2 linked regions of the Mus musculus genome follow. The protein of the gene in region 2 interacts with the protein of the main gene of each other region in a pairwise test. Links are inferred from orthologs where the notes say so. Each region holds a gene or a part of one and is shown on either strand. Other genes may lie near its edges.

Region 1 (7,888 bases), on a different chromosome or scaffold from region 2:
TTCTAACTCTTAACAAATTCGAAGTTTCCAAAACATGTACCTGAGACATAAACACTAACATTTGTCAGGAAAATCAGGTGACTCATATTTAAAGTTCTCAAAAAGTTAGTCACACCTACATACTTCAGAGTAACTAAAACCCAGGGAACACCCTTCATATCAGTCAGTTAGGCGATGTTATCAGAGGCAGTTTCTCCTCCATTTTCTGCAGGCTGGACGTTCTCCCCGCACAGCCACAGTCCACACAGTGCAGGCTGACTCACGCCAGGCTATCACCCCCTCCTCTGGAGTCTGAATGGGAAGACACCGAATGACTTATTTAACCTGTTAAGTTTCCCTAAAGCTTCTGCATGCATGCAATTCTTTAATACTTTCTTCTCTGGCTTAAATATTTAGATATTAACAGTAGATTGTGCCCAACCCCCAGTGCTGGCAAAAGGTGAGGCGGGACTGGGTCACTTTTTGCAGCACAGTATGAATATAAGGACTTTTTAAGACATGAGGGAAAATTAGATAGAGATCAAACGAACCCAATCAACAATTATCCACCATGTGATTTTTCTGGCTTGGAATCCAGATGTACAAGGACTTGTTTCCTAGCATCTGTTGGCATATTCTAGAACTTGGGTTTTGGAGGGAAGGGGAAAGGACCTTGGTCCTACGGAAGAGCAGTCTGTGCTCGGAACCACTGAGGCACCTTCCATCCCTACTTCTGGTTTGTTTGTAGGCTCTCCCTGTGTCGCCTTAGCTGCCCTTGAGCTTGCACTGACAGCTGGGATCACGGTGTGTGTGTGTGTGTGTGTGTGTGTGTGCGCGCAGTACAGTTGATATTGTGTTTGCCCATGAGTAGCAATTAGGAAGTGGTGTGTCCCCAGACCGTTTCGAGGCTGTGGGGCCAGTGTCTTGGCTGTGGTGGAGATGCAACCAGGCCCGAGTATGGCGGTCAAGCTCCACTGTAGTAGCCCCTGCCCTTGAGACCAAGGTTACCTAAGGACATCAAAATGATTACAGAGAACTTTCTGGAGAAACAATCAGGAAGATAAATCAGTTACCAAAGAAATCACCCAGCTGCTGGCATCACACCTCTAACTAGAACCTTATTTACACTCTCCATTATTCCTCCTATCTGTACCACGGCTCCCTTCCCAGAGCAAAGACGATAAAGCGGACACTATTGTTTCTTTCTTTCTTTCTCTTTTCAAGATAGACAGGGTTTCTCTATGTAGTCCTGGCAGACCTGGAACTCAGAAATCCTCCTGCCTCTGCGTCTACATTCTGGGGTTAAAGGTGTGTGCCGTCCCTGGCTGACGCTACTGTTGCTATGAAGGAGAGCCTACCTATGACCTACACACTCTCCAGTTCTGGTTAGGATCGCCTAACTGTGATATTACAGAACTAACCCTGGACCAGCAGATGGTTCAGTAGGTAAGTGCTTGCTGCCAAGCCTCAGAGCCTGAATCCAATCCCCAAGACCCACGTGGTGGTGAGAAGCAACTTCCTAGGGCTGTCCTCTGACCTCTCCACTCCCACTGCGGAACCTGCGAATCCCCACACGCCCATCATGCCAAGTAAATGATCAGAACATAGTGGAAATTTAAGGGAGTTTTTACTATTCACATAGCATAAACTGAAATTATTTTTTTTACAAACCTGAGCTAAGGTAGGACTAGCAACACATGACTTTACTCCCAACAGAGGCAGCCGGATCTCTGAGTTCAAGACCAGCCTGGTCTACATAATGAGTTTTAGAACAGCCAGGGCTATGTAGAGACCCTGTCTTAAAAAACAACAACAACGGGGGCTGGAGAGATGGCTCAGTGGTTAAGAGTACTGACTGCTCTTCCAGAGGTCCTGAGTTCAATTCCCAGAAACCACATGGTGGCTCACAACCATCTGTAATGGAATCTGATGCCCTCTTCTGGTGTGTCTGAAGACAGCTACAATGTACTCATATAAATAATAAATAAAACTTTAAAACAACAACAACTACAACTACTACAACAAAAGAACATGCAGTGCTCTTCCAGAGGACCCAAGTTCAGTTTCCACCCATGTCTGGTAGCTCACAAGCACCTGTAATTTCAGTCAATTGAGCTGACGCCCTCTTCTGGACTCTGTTGGCACCTGCATTCATGCACACACATAAATGTTCTCTAGGACAGTCAGGGCTACATGGAAGGAGGGGAAAGGGTGGGGGTGGGGAGCCATCTCAAAACCCCACAAAGCAGGGTGAACAAACTCTGGCCTATGCTGTCTGTCTGTCTGTTAACAGACACACAGCATGGCAGCATTTCCCGAGTGTATCTTCTGACTGCCCTGCTTCTGTTTAGAGGAGGGCTCACACTAGAAGTATGGTATGGCAGCTGAAATAGAAACCACACACCTTGGACAGAACTATGTAAAATATTCAAAAATCAGTAGATGAAAAAGGAAAACAAAAAGCTTGAAATTCCAGTCCACAAGAGCTTGGTTTCCTTCCACCAGAGACCCACTCCTATCTAACTTATTGGCACACCTAGAATCTCTACTCATTTTTTTAATGATTAAAAAAACATGTAAAGGCTCACTACCGAGATCAGGACCATAAAACTGAGTGTTGGTATTATGCAGCATCACAAGTGGTTTTCTTTCCTCACCTCAAGTCCCACAAGCCAAACTACAAAGAGATGCCAGGAGAAAGCTTGTGTGTTGACAGCTACAAATGGTTAGAGAAAAAGACAGACATTTCTGGAGTCAGTCATCTCCCTATACTAACAAGTCACTTTATTTGCTGTTGTGCAGAACCCAGCCAGGAAGGGTGTGTTCCTTAAACTATCATACAGTTTTACTCTAAAACAATTATGTGTATGCCGGCAGCTCCGTCTATGTATGCCATGTGTCGGTGCCATGGGAAGCCAGAGCACCAGATGTTCTGGAACTGGAGAGAAGGCTCGGTGGTTAAATGCAACACAGCTCACTCAGAGGCTCTGGGTTTGGGTCAGCGCCCACAAGGTAGCTCACTATTTTAACTTCAGGTCCAGGGGATCCGACTTGACTCCCTCTGGGATTCTGGCTTCCTAGAGCACCAGGCATTCAGGTGGTACACAGACATACAGGCAGGCATTTATACATGTAAAATAGTAAATTTAAAGAAAGTTACAGGTGTGTGTTGCTCGGCAGGGGTGCGGCGAACTGAGCTTGGGTGTCCTGCAAGAGCAGCGTACATTCATAAATGCAGTGCCATCTCTCTAACACCAACAGTCCTGTTATTATTACACAGACCTGTGTTTCAATCTAGTTCCTATCTGATATATAAATTCCTCCCACTCCTCCATTAAGACTGTGTCTGGCACTCTCTAGTTCTAGTCTCAATAGTTAGAGGAGATTACAAACAAAACAACAAAGCAAAAAAACAAAAAGAAAACAAACAAACAAAAATCCCCCCAAATTAAAAGCAAATGTAGATCTGTGATTCTTAGTTACAGAACTTTGCTCTCAAGCCCAGGAACCACAAAGGCTCCAGGTAGCTTTCCTCACTCACCCCACTTCCCGGACCGACATTCCCCCAGGGGTCCCTTAACCACCACGCTTCTTATTTTTGCAGTGGGTGTTCGATACACCGCTCCTTCTGTGTGTCTAGCCACAATTTTGCTCTAAATTCTCACGGTCAGCAATGCCCTCTACCACCGTTTTACAAGTTGCTCAGTAAAAAGCCATCGGCAAGACCTGGTCCTACAGCCGAGTTTGGGGGAAGTCACACCCTTTAAAAGCAGGGTTTCTTATCATTTCAGAACTCTCCGAGAACCAGGCTACATAATCCTGCCCCTCCTGGCCGTTCAAAGTCAGGAGAAGCTTGGCGACATGTTCCGGTGGCTACGGATCACCTTCAGATTCCATCTGAAAAGCCCCTTTTGGAAGACGGCATTCTCCAGCTAATCCCCACGGGCTACTCTGCTCACCCGGCCTTGGGATTGAGGAATCCCACCGACACTGAAGTCACTAACAGAAGACTGGCAGATCCGCCAAGGGGGAAAGCATTCCGAATGAAGAGTCGGAATGAAAACAGCAGCGTCTCAAATTGTCAAGCGCAGCACCAGAGTAAGGCGATAGCGCTAATTTCATAGATTAGACGCATACCAAAGTTAGGGCTGGAAAAAGAGCTCTCCTCCACTCGATGTACCCCCGAGCCCCAATAAAAGGTTATACGAGAAGACAACAAGGTGTTCCGAAAGCCTCTGGCTCGTGCCCGGGGTGAAGGGATCCCCCAAAGTTATCCCATCACCTTGCACTGGAGCGATCCTCATCCCACCCTAAAAGCAAGGCGGGAATATGAAGGATAGAAAACAGGGGCTGTGCTGCGGAGCAGACGCAAACGCCTCACATCGCCGCGCTCCACCAAGTTTCTCTCCTACGTGCTTCGGCCAGCAGCTCGCCCTCCGCCCGCGTTCCCACAGGGGCAGCCGAGGTCCACCATCCCGCCACTCTGCGTCCTCACGGGGCAGCCCCGCGTCGACCATCCCACCGGCCCTCGCCCCCGTTGCCCCGCCCGGCCGCGCACCTTGCTCTTCACCTCCATGGTGCCCAGGCAGCCGCTGCTCGCCCCGTGCCGGTGGCCGCGGTTCATGCTGAGTGCCCGGCCGCCGGCGGCCTCGTCGGGGGCCGGCCCTCGGGAGCGCGGGCGGCGGGGCCGCGGAGCGCGGGCTCGGGACTCGAAGCGCCGCACGGCGCCTCGTCACGGCACCTGCTGAGGTCCTCCCCGCAGCGCAGTGCCGGCTGCTCCGCGGCGGCCTGAGGGTCGGACTGCCAGTGCAGCAGGCGGGGACACCGGTCCCTCCCAGCGAGGCTCGGGGGCGGCGGCGGCCGCGGCGGTGAGGAGAGGGCGGAGCACAGCCCTACAGCCGCCGCAGCCTCCCTTATCCGCTGCCTCCCCCGCGGACGCGCGCCCGCGCGCTCGTGCACCGAGCTGGGCCGCGGCCGCGGCACGTGCGCGCGCTCACCTGCAGCTTCGGCGCGCGGCTTGCGCTCCGCCCACACCCAATGGGAAGCGCGCACCTGCGCCCGCGGCGTCAGCCAATCGGCACGCAGCCTGCGGGGCTCGCGCGGCCCGTGGGCGGGCCTCGTGGTTGGGAAGCCCCGCCCACAGCCCTCGCGATTGGTCCTGCCTTGCGAGGGAGGGGCGGGATCACCTGAAGCTCTGGGGCCTCTCTGGATTGAGCCGGGGGAGCAGTAGGACGCATGCGCCGGCTGTAGAGTTTCCGCCCCGAGAAGGCGATGGGGAAGGCCGGCCGGAAGCGCGAGCGCACCTGGACTGCCGTTCAGGAGGGTGTGTATTTTGCGCATGCGCGCGAGCGTTTTCGCCGGCTGGGTCGGGTCGGGAGCGCCCGTATCTTTAACGCGCCCTAGTCACCTGCTTGGAATGTGTGTACAGCCGTTCCCTTGCCGTGATGATGTGGGGTGACTGGGCATCTGGGGCCCCTCTTCGGCCTGAGCCCCCCCCCATGCTGCGGCTTCTTGGCGGCCCCCTGAAACTATTGTGGAAAGAGTTTCAAGTTTTCCCGCCTCTGCAGCAGTCATTAGAGGGAGAAGCTTGGGGGTCGGGGGTGGGGGGATGTCTAGGCCTGGAAACTGCACTTTCGTCTCAATCAGCGCTTCTCAACCTGTGGGCTCTTGACCCCAGGACGACTCTTCCTCCGGGGTCACCTGAGACCTAAAACACAGATATTTACATTGCGATTCATAACAGTAGCAAAATTACAGTTAAGTAGCTAGGAAAATCATTTTATGGCTGGAGGTCATCAGAATGCGAGGTCACAGCATTAGGAAGGTTGAGAACCACTGCTCTAGATCTTCCCTGTCCCGAGGGTGCCCTGGGTATCAGGAGAGGACCAGGGAGCTGAGGCCTGCGATGGTCCCCACAGGCCCTGGCTCCCTGCGGGCCTCACCATCCGCCCTCTGAGGCTGAAGTCGTCTCTCTGTGGAGCAATTTCTTGCCCGTTTGTTGTTTGCACCAACGCCAGCCTCTGGGCTGTGTTCTGTTCCCCCAGTGACCGAGCTGTGTCCTGGGGTAACAACACCAATTCCTAATCTCTGAGCGCCCCACACTGAGGCTGCTGCCTCTCTCTCTGTTTTGTTTACCCATTGGTCTTGCTGGTGCTAGGAGAAAAGTGAAAGTCTCCCTCGACGACCCTCCTACCCCACAGAGGGCTGAAGAGCTAGCTGATCAGGGGCCTTCACTCCTGCCCACTCTCCCCTTGGACCACAGAATCTAACATCTTTCCGCTGTGATGGGGTTCAGCTTTTCTATTTTCCTTCGTGCACGTGCACTTGAAACAGCGTTACTCTATGTACAATGAAAGCTACCCAGTGGCGGGGATACCCTGGCTTTGCTCAGTTGTTTGTTCACCCTGGGAGAGCCAGGCTCTTGTCATGCGCTCATGTATGTATTTGGGGACAAGAGGAGCCGAATCTGTGGCTTCTCCAGGCTACACCCTGTAGCTTCAAAGATAAGAAGCCCCTTTCCCCTTGAACGAATCTCTTCACCAGCTGTTGGTAGGCGATTTTAAGGTTTCCCTGGCCATTCTGGGGTGGAAGTCCTGGAGAGAGAGAGAGAGACTGTCCCTCAAGCTGAATCTCACACTGCCTTCCCAACCCATACCTGTGTGGTGGAAAGAAGATTTGTGGTTTTGAGGGGCAGCCACAGGCCCAGTACCCTGGTCAACAGCATCAGCCCAGCAGTTACAGCTCTTTGGGTCCCAGGACCCCTGAAACTAAACATTACAGGGAACCTCCAAGTTTGTGAATGCCTATGAGTGTTTATTGTATTGGAACTAAACCAGAAACGCGTTTAAAACAATGCACAATACATATTCCAAGCAGGTAAAGATGATGTCATCATTTGTCCTGTCTTTTGCGGAAAACTCCATCATCTGCTTCTGAGACAAGGAAGGTGAGATGCGACGCCTTCATGAGAACAATATGACTTTGGAAATTCCCCTAGCGAGGTTTCCAGGTGCCAGTGGACCCGTGGGCCACTCTGAAAACCGATGTGCCAGAAAGCACAGGACCTCCAATCTCACCTTTCTCCTGCCTCTGCCCTGAGCGGGTCACACCTTGAGAACTGTGGACCTGTGGCCCCAAGTCTGTGTGGATGATGGTTGGGTGGCTGCTATTACTGCTATCGAGACTCCTTTATCAGCTGCTTTGAGGAGGAAGCTCATGGGTGCCAATGCACCTGCGTGGGCCCTGCATTCCTGAAGCTGCCGTCACATCCGCCCTCCCCTCCCCCCGGGTGTGGCATCCCTCACTACCTGAACTTTCCTTTCTCGAAGGGAGGGAGGGCCAGGCCAGAGCTTCCTGGATCTCTCCGGCAGATCTGCTGCAAACCAGGGCTGTGTAAGAAGGGAATGTAGAAAATAGTTTGCCTTTGATAAAGGTGCTGCGGGGGAGGGGAGCCTTGTTGTCAGCTTGGCTTAAGAAGCCTGAAGACCAGAGAAACAGTGTGGATTAGCTCTTGGCTCCTGCCTCTTTGGTTTAGAGACTGACTTGTAACCTCCGTTCTCCCCATCTCCTCTCCCTGCCCCCAAATCCTCAAACCAGAGCTGATCCGGACTGACAAGCCCCCCCCACCCCCCCACCCCCCCGAGAAGCTCTGAGAATTAGTGTTCAGTGGGTTGAGAGATAAGTCAGTTAACAGCCTGACCCGGCTCTGTAAATTACAGGCTCCTGAGATGGTGAGTCTGGCTCAGGTCAGCAGAGCTCTGCACCCACACACCGCCATCCCACCCCCACCCCCGAGACCCCTTGGCAAGGGTTACAGTTTCACTTCATCATGGTCTTCTAAGTTATAAACACTCAGCCTGGCTTGATGGCTTAACACTTGTAATCCCAGCACTCAGGAGGGTGAGGCAGG
Region 2 (7,150 bases):
AACTCACTGACTACGGCATGTGTAAGGTGAGAGACCCCCTGGATGGCTTGTAACCTGTCAGCTAAGTAACTTCACACTTAGATGGGAAGAGATCACTGCCTTGTTGAGGATGTCTGAGAGTTCTGGTCTGAAGACAGGTGTACTCTCTGGCCATTTGGCCACGTGGAGAACTCCATGTCTTCTGTGATGTGTGTTATAAATGGGCCACTTTTTAAAAATTGGTTGTAGCTTTTTTGTTATACTTTTGAAGAAAATTTGGAAATAACATTACCTACAGTCCTGTTACGTTAACACAGTATTTGCATGCCACCTTCCAAGCTTTTACCATTTATCAGACCTGAACCTACTTTCACATTTTTCCTAGGCATCTTTTATATTTAACTTTTAAATCTCTGACATACAATGTGACATTCAATCAAGTAAGCATTTTACTTTGTCTCAGAATATGTCTACTAATCTCGCTATTTTACTCCTTTGGCAACAGTGTTTTACTTAGAGGTTTGATCTTTTCCCACAAAATGTCTAGAGAACTATTCTACTTATTAACCCTGTCCTAACAAAACATGTGCGAGTGTGTGAGTGTGCGCACTGCATCCCCATCCATCAGGAGGAGGTACCGTAAACACACACATGGTAATGAGGATTTAATGTCACCCTGCACACCTTATATCAGGTAGTAAAGTCATGCAGTGTATACAACTCAAGACCGTTTTCCTGTCATGCACCTTAAGTCATTCTCTTTGTAACTAGGGAAGAGGGTTAAGTCACTGGACCCCCTGCATGCCTCATTTGTATTCACGATGCCTTTTTGCTCTGTCATGGTTTTCCATAGTGTTCTTCTCTCTGGTTTTAAAACTCATCACAATAATAATGGATTCTTACAAGTTCCAAGGGCAAATGAAAAGCATGCAGAGTATTAATCTGCAAGTTAGAACAGTGTTTTGGATTTTTTTAGTCACAATCTGAATGTTAGTTAAAATTACAGGTAGCTTGAGGAGGCAGAGGCATGGTGACACACCTCTATAGGGTGAAGCAGGGTGATCATGAGCTCAAGGCCAGCGTGGACTGGACAGCAAGAGTTTGCCCACCGAGCCATCTTCCCAGCCTGGGAGGAACCTTTCTTTCATGACTTCTGTCCTTCCCTTGTCCCCCAAACATGTATGTCCATATTTATACTGTGATGTGAGTATATGGGACACATTTGGTGGTTGGCTTGGTTTTATTTTGTCTTTGTTTTGGTAGGTGTTTCTGTTTGGCTTGGTTTTATTCCTTAGAAACAAAATATTGGTGTGTAGCTGAGATTGACCCTGAATTAACAATCCTCCTGTTTCAGCCTTCCAAGTGCTGGGATTACACGTGGACCACCATACTTTTTTAAGTCGTCTAAAAATCACTGTTTATTAGTTATTGGTGTATAGGGTATGTTTTCTGAATGTTGAAACCTCATAATCAAAGACCATGAAATTTTCCTACTGTGTTCATTTTTATTCTTTTTTAGAAAATGTTAGTAGGTATACAGAAACTTATATTTGTTACAGCTCTTGATGGGTGTTCCATTTATTGTTGGGTTTTCTCTACTTAGTTTATTTGTGCATTGTTCACCTTCCTACAGCTATTAAAATATCAAAGCAGAAGACACAGTCGGTAGGAAAGAAAACATCACAATGTCAACAGTCATGAAGTAGTCACTGTAGTCACATGATCTCTGTTTTCATAGTAAATTTTAATAAATGTTATTTTAAAAGCAGTTTTATGTTAACTGAATTGACTTTAGCAACGTCTAAAGTGAATACGTTTTCTTTTACTCTGTTTAGTAGTGATCACTGTTCCTAGTGACGCTGTTCAGGTTTAACATATTGCATATACATGCTGAGTTTAGACACATGAAATGGAAGAGGTGAATGTAAAATGGTGTTGTCTCTTATCTTTTCCCCGTCTTCTCCTTTCCTTTTTCCCCATGAAAGGAAGGATTGCGGCCTGGAGACACAACCAGCACTTTCTGCGGCACTCCCAATTACATTGCTCCAGAGATCTTAAGAGGAGAAGATTATGGTAATAAATTAATAGGTGGTATTTTAGGTGTTACTATAATTGGTACCAACTACAACATAAATAGTATAGCATTTTAATATTCACTAATATATAAGCCTTCCTTAGTTCAGTTAACCTACGTGGAGACCCTCAGATTCTGAAACTGGACCCATCCATAAAAGGTTTGACATTTGGGAGAATTACATTTAAATAGTATTTTACTAGTGACAAGAACTAAACAGTGGCAAGAACTTGGTAAGCAGTTCACTCTAAATTCCCTCACAAGCCTTCTGAGGTACATGTTGACTTATTTGACAAAGAAGGGAAGCAATGTACAGAAAAGCTTAAATTATATGCCTGGGTCACAAAAGCCAAGGCAGTGCCCAGGTATGCAGGTACGTATTAACTCATCGGCTATGTGAATCCAGGGTCACGAACTTCAGAAGATTGTTCAGATTCAGGGGATATTTCCCTTAGTGTTCTAAAAGTTCCTAAAGGCTGGGGGCCTGATAGGTACCAGGAAATACCTACCTTCCTTCCTTCCTTCCTTCCTTCCTTCTCTTTACAGAGTTAGGGTGTCTCTACATAACCCTGTCTGCCCTGGAACTTGCTCTGTAAACAAGGTTGGCCTCTAACTCAGTTCCTCCTGCCTCTGCCTCCTTAGTGCTGGGATTTAAAGTATGGATCTTTGGCGGCCATTACTTTTCTTCACATTTATTTTTATTAGTTCTTTTGAGACTTTCCTACAATATATTTTGATCACATCTACCCTTTCCTGTTCCTCCTGTATGCCCCCACTGCCAACTTCCCTAATCCAGCTTTGTCTCCTCCTCCTTTTTACCCAGCTAGTCCATGCTGCCCTTGTGTTCTTGGATCTGTGGACTTCCACGGGAGCATGGTCAACTTGCAGGGAACAACTCTTTTAGATAAAAGTTCCTCTCCTGTAGCTATCACTTGCCATAGCCCCGCCTGTCCACCTCGCTTACCATGCTGGGATTTGGTCTGACTTGAATTTACACAGGGCTTGTGCATGCTATCCCAGTTTTTGTGAGCTTGTGTGTACAGCTGCCCTACTATGTCTGGAGACATGTTTTCTTATGTTCACCCTCCACCTCTGGTTGTTACAGTCTTCCCCCTTTCTACAATGTCTCCGTATGCTTGGGAGAAGGAACATATATGTTGGGAGAAATATTAAAAAATGAACCGGCATGTTCCCATTCTTGTGCCTCTGCCTCAGCGGCCTGACCAGCAAAAATATCTCGTGGAGACTCTCTGACCTGGAGTTCCCAAAACATCTTCACCCAGCTCGCTAAGTTCCCACTGGCGGATATCTACCATGACAGCCCTAAGCTTCAATCCTCCAAGGCCTGTGTAGTACACCTCAGGCAAACCTGTGCTTTGCCACCAGAAGAGCCGATGCTTGAAGGAAAACGCAACACAAACTTAGTTCAGAAACAATTGCTGGCACAACAACAAAAATCCTAACTTGTAAGCCTTATTAAATCTAAATCCTCCAGTGGCAAAATCCTGACAGATCTGCCATTGAATCTGGGAGACACTTGTAATTACATCTTGTCCTCATGGTATCCCTGTCCAAAAAGACCTAACTCTTTCCTGCTTCCTCTTCTTCCTCCATCCAACTCGGAAGTCCCTCCTACTCGCCCAGTGATTGGCTCCTTTAATCATTAGGGGGTTGGTTCACAAGAAGTCACCTGAGTATGACTCACTCCTCCCAGGAGAGTGGAATTAGCATCAACATACAAACAGCACCAGGCTCATCCACACACATACAGATAGTCATTTTAGGGTTGCTTGGACCAAGTATCTCTGTAGTTTTTAGTGCCTACCATATTATTTATACTCTAATTAGACTTTGCTTTTCCATTATGTTTACATTTCCATCTCATGATAAAATAAAATTTCTGGGAGGCTGGAGAGATGGCTCAGTGGTTAAGAGCACTGACTGCTCTTCCAGAGGTCCTGAGTTCAGTTCCCAGCAACCACTCACAACCATCTCTAATGGGATCTGATGCTCTCTTCTGGTGTGTCTGAAGACAGCTACAATATACTCAAACACATAAAATAAATAAATAAAATCTTTAAAAAAATAAAAAATAAATTTCTGACTGCTGGATGTTCACACATGCAGAGAAGGTTTATTACTTTAAACTTCTCTCTAAAGGCTTCAGCGTTGACTGGTGGGCTCTTGGAGTGCTTATGTTTGAGATGATGGCGGGAAGGTCTCCGTTTGATATCGTTGGGAGCTCTGACAATCCTGACCAAAACACAGAGGATTATCTATTCCAAGGTAATTTGCAATACTTCGGGGAAATTCTGTGAATAACCTAGAGCAAAGTAAGGGCTCTCAAATTAGTATTCTCAGTTAAAAACAAGGAGAGTAATTTGGACACACACCTGACTTCATGATAGTTTGGAGAATTTTTAGATAGTCCCTTCCCACTTCTCTAGCCTGTAGCTTCGTCTGTAATTTCCTTCCCACACTCAATTCATAACAAAGCATTTAAATGTGTCGTCATACATGCTAGAACAGGGAACTCCTGGGGAGATGGAGGCATCTGTTAGAGACTAATCTCTGCACATGAGCCCCAGACTTAGTGCCCGGGTTCAAGAAAAGTGGAGTGTGATTGTGATCCAAGAGATCACAGAGCTTTGCTAAGGCCTCCTCAGGGAGGGAGTGTCATGGTGAGGAGTGCTGACAGTCAACAGAGCAGAGGGAGGAGGCCAAGCACAGGACCTCTACCAGAAAGTGTGCAGCAGCCACAGAATTCTGCACCTAATAGTTAAGACCCTCACAGGACATGAGGAAGTGTTCCATAGAATAAGGAACCAGAGTGCCTGCCATTAAGACTATAGAAAGAGAATGCAAAGTGCTAATGAGCTACTGTTTCCTGCCTGTGCCCCTGACAGAGATTTGAGATTGAGAGTAACTGCCTGGTACTGATGAAGGTTCGGAGCAGTGGGAGGTCTTCGGGACTGCTCGTGGGGGTTGAAGTTGACAGGAGCTTTGCAGAATAATTTCACATTTCCCAGTACAGTTCTGTGTTACATATATATGCAAACACTTTACAGTACTAACTTTTGTACCTCAGAAGAGCCCCGTGAAGCAGGGATTGTTTTTATTGAGGCACACTAAGTTGGTAAAAATAAACCAGGCTTGTAAATAATAAATGCAGTACTAAGGCAAGGGGCCAGCTCTGAGAAGGAGAGCCAAAGGCAATGCATGAAGTGTTGCACTTATGCAGATGATGTATATTCTGCTAGGATGCCTTAAATAGCTTGGGATTTAAAGAAAAAACTTAGATTCAAGCCACATAAACACTAAAAATGATACTGTGATTCTTATCTTTTTAAGTCATTTTGGAAAAGCAGATCCGCATCCCGCGTTCTCTGTCTGTAAAAGCAGCAAGTGTACTGAAGAGTTTTCTCAACAAGGTAGGGATGATGTGGACACTCTTCTGTGCTTTCTTCCCTGAGGAAGCAGAGCGCCTTGTCGGCGGAGGCTCAGGCGCTGGGATGTTTCAGAGCAGGGATATGTAACTTTCCAGTTAGAACTGGAATTTTGTTTCATAACCAGACACAGGGTCAAATCCTGACCTGATTATCCTTGTCATGTGGCCAATATCATTGATTTACCTCCAGCTTGACCTTTAAATATAAATGATACACACATATGCTCTCCTCAGTGAAGGAAAATGGAGTCTGTAATTTGTTATAACTGCATTTTTAGCTGTGTTTCTGTATCTTTAGCCATAAAACCGATTTCTCACCAAGTGGCCAAGAATGTTCTCTATCCATTTCATAATAACTCTGTATTTAGATAAAATTCAGAAGAAATGGAATGAGATCCTAAAATGTAAGCATCATTCAGTTGCTTGTGGAAATTGGTAAGCCAGAAGCATTTAGGTTCTAAGATTGTGAATTTGGGATTCATAAAATTTATTCCAAATAAATGAAGGTATAAAATGGGTTACCTCTGTGGGCACATAAGGATGAAATTAATAAAATTGGAAAATTGCACCTAGTGAAGATGGCTATGTTTTTATCATGTGTATGTGTGTGTGGGTGTTGTGCCGGTGTGTAATCTGTAGCACATGCGTCACTGGTGCCCAGGAAGGGTAGAAGAGGGCACTGGATCTCCCGCACCTGGAGGTAGACATGGTTGTAAGCAGCTGTGGGTGTTAGGAATCCAACCTGAATCCTCAGGAAGGAGCCATCTCTCTGGCCCCTGCTACAATGTCTTAAATATCTTGGAATTTAAAGAAAAAACTGAAAGCTTTAAGCCACATAAAAGCTAAAAATGATACTGATTCTTATCGTTTTCATCGTTTTGGAAAAGCAGATTTGCAGATATTTACACGAGGGAGGGTTTAAACTGGGACGCTTCTGCACTATGAAAAGTGAAGTTGAGAGATGCTAATGTATAAAATAAAACGCCTTTCACCCAGAAGAAAACATTGTAATCCATAGAGCAAAAGCTAAGTTCCAGCCTCTGCCTCGGTCCAGTGATCAGATAATTCTGTGTCATTGTCTTAGACAAATTAGGATTTGTTGCTGCAGAGGCTTTAACGATGAGCTAAACATAAGTGTGCTGTAACGTCCAGAGGTTGCTGTAATTATTAAATTATTATGCTGCCCTTGTTTTTCCACATTCTTTAGCAAAGAGTGATGAAGTACTCTACCATTTTAAAACAGGGTCTTATGTAGCCTAGGCTTGCATTCTAAGATTCTAAGATTCTAAGATTCTGGGTATGCCCCACCAGGGCTGGTGACGTGGTGAGTTGATAAGAGCCAGGAGGAAACCTTACCTGCTGTGACCTCTGAATTACTCACTTGGCTCTGGACCATGCTTTCTAGAAATAGCTAGACATTTCAACTTCACAAATGAAGCCATCATAAAATAGGAATTATACTTGTCTAATTCCTGAACACTACTCTTGCTATAGGACCCAAAGGAACGATTGGGTTGTCACCCTCAAACTGGATTTGCTGACATTCAAGGACATCCATTCTTCAGAAATGTGGACTGGGACATGGTATGTAAATTTTATTTTCCTAGCTTGGGTTTTAGTGTAATCAAAGTCCAATTTTTATCATGTTT

What was found. The genes of interacting proteins can lie anywhere in the genome.
Region 1: the proteins of Prkci (region 2) and Pard6b interact in binary tests that used the Homo sapiens proteins (3 or more experiments, as listed by UniProt). The link is inferred for Mus musculus from reciprocal best matches to the Homo sapiens genes PRKCI and PARD6B.

What each region holds. Positions count from the first base shown.
Region 1 is NC_000068.7:168,078,009-168,085,896, reverse strand, and holds the start of Pard6b (partitioning defective 6 homolog beta), read right to left. Parts: upstream 4,894-7,888; 5' UTR 4,604-4,893; coding exon 4,538-4,603; intron 1-4,537. UniProt on the Homo sapiens protein: Adapter protein involved in asymmetrical cell division and cell polarization processes. Probably involved in formation of epithelial tight junctions.
Region 2 is NC_000069.6:31,039,478-31,046,627, forward strand, and holds part of Prkci (protein kinase C iota type), read left to right. Parts: coding exon 1-26; intron 27-1,964; coding exon 1,965-2,052; intron 2,053-4,213; coding exon 4,214-4,339; intron 4,340-5,404; coding exon 5,405-5,484; intron 5,485-6,995; coding exon 6,996-7,085; intron 7,086-7,150.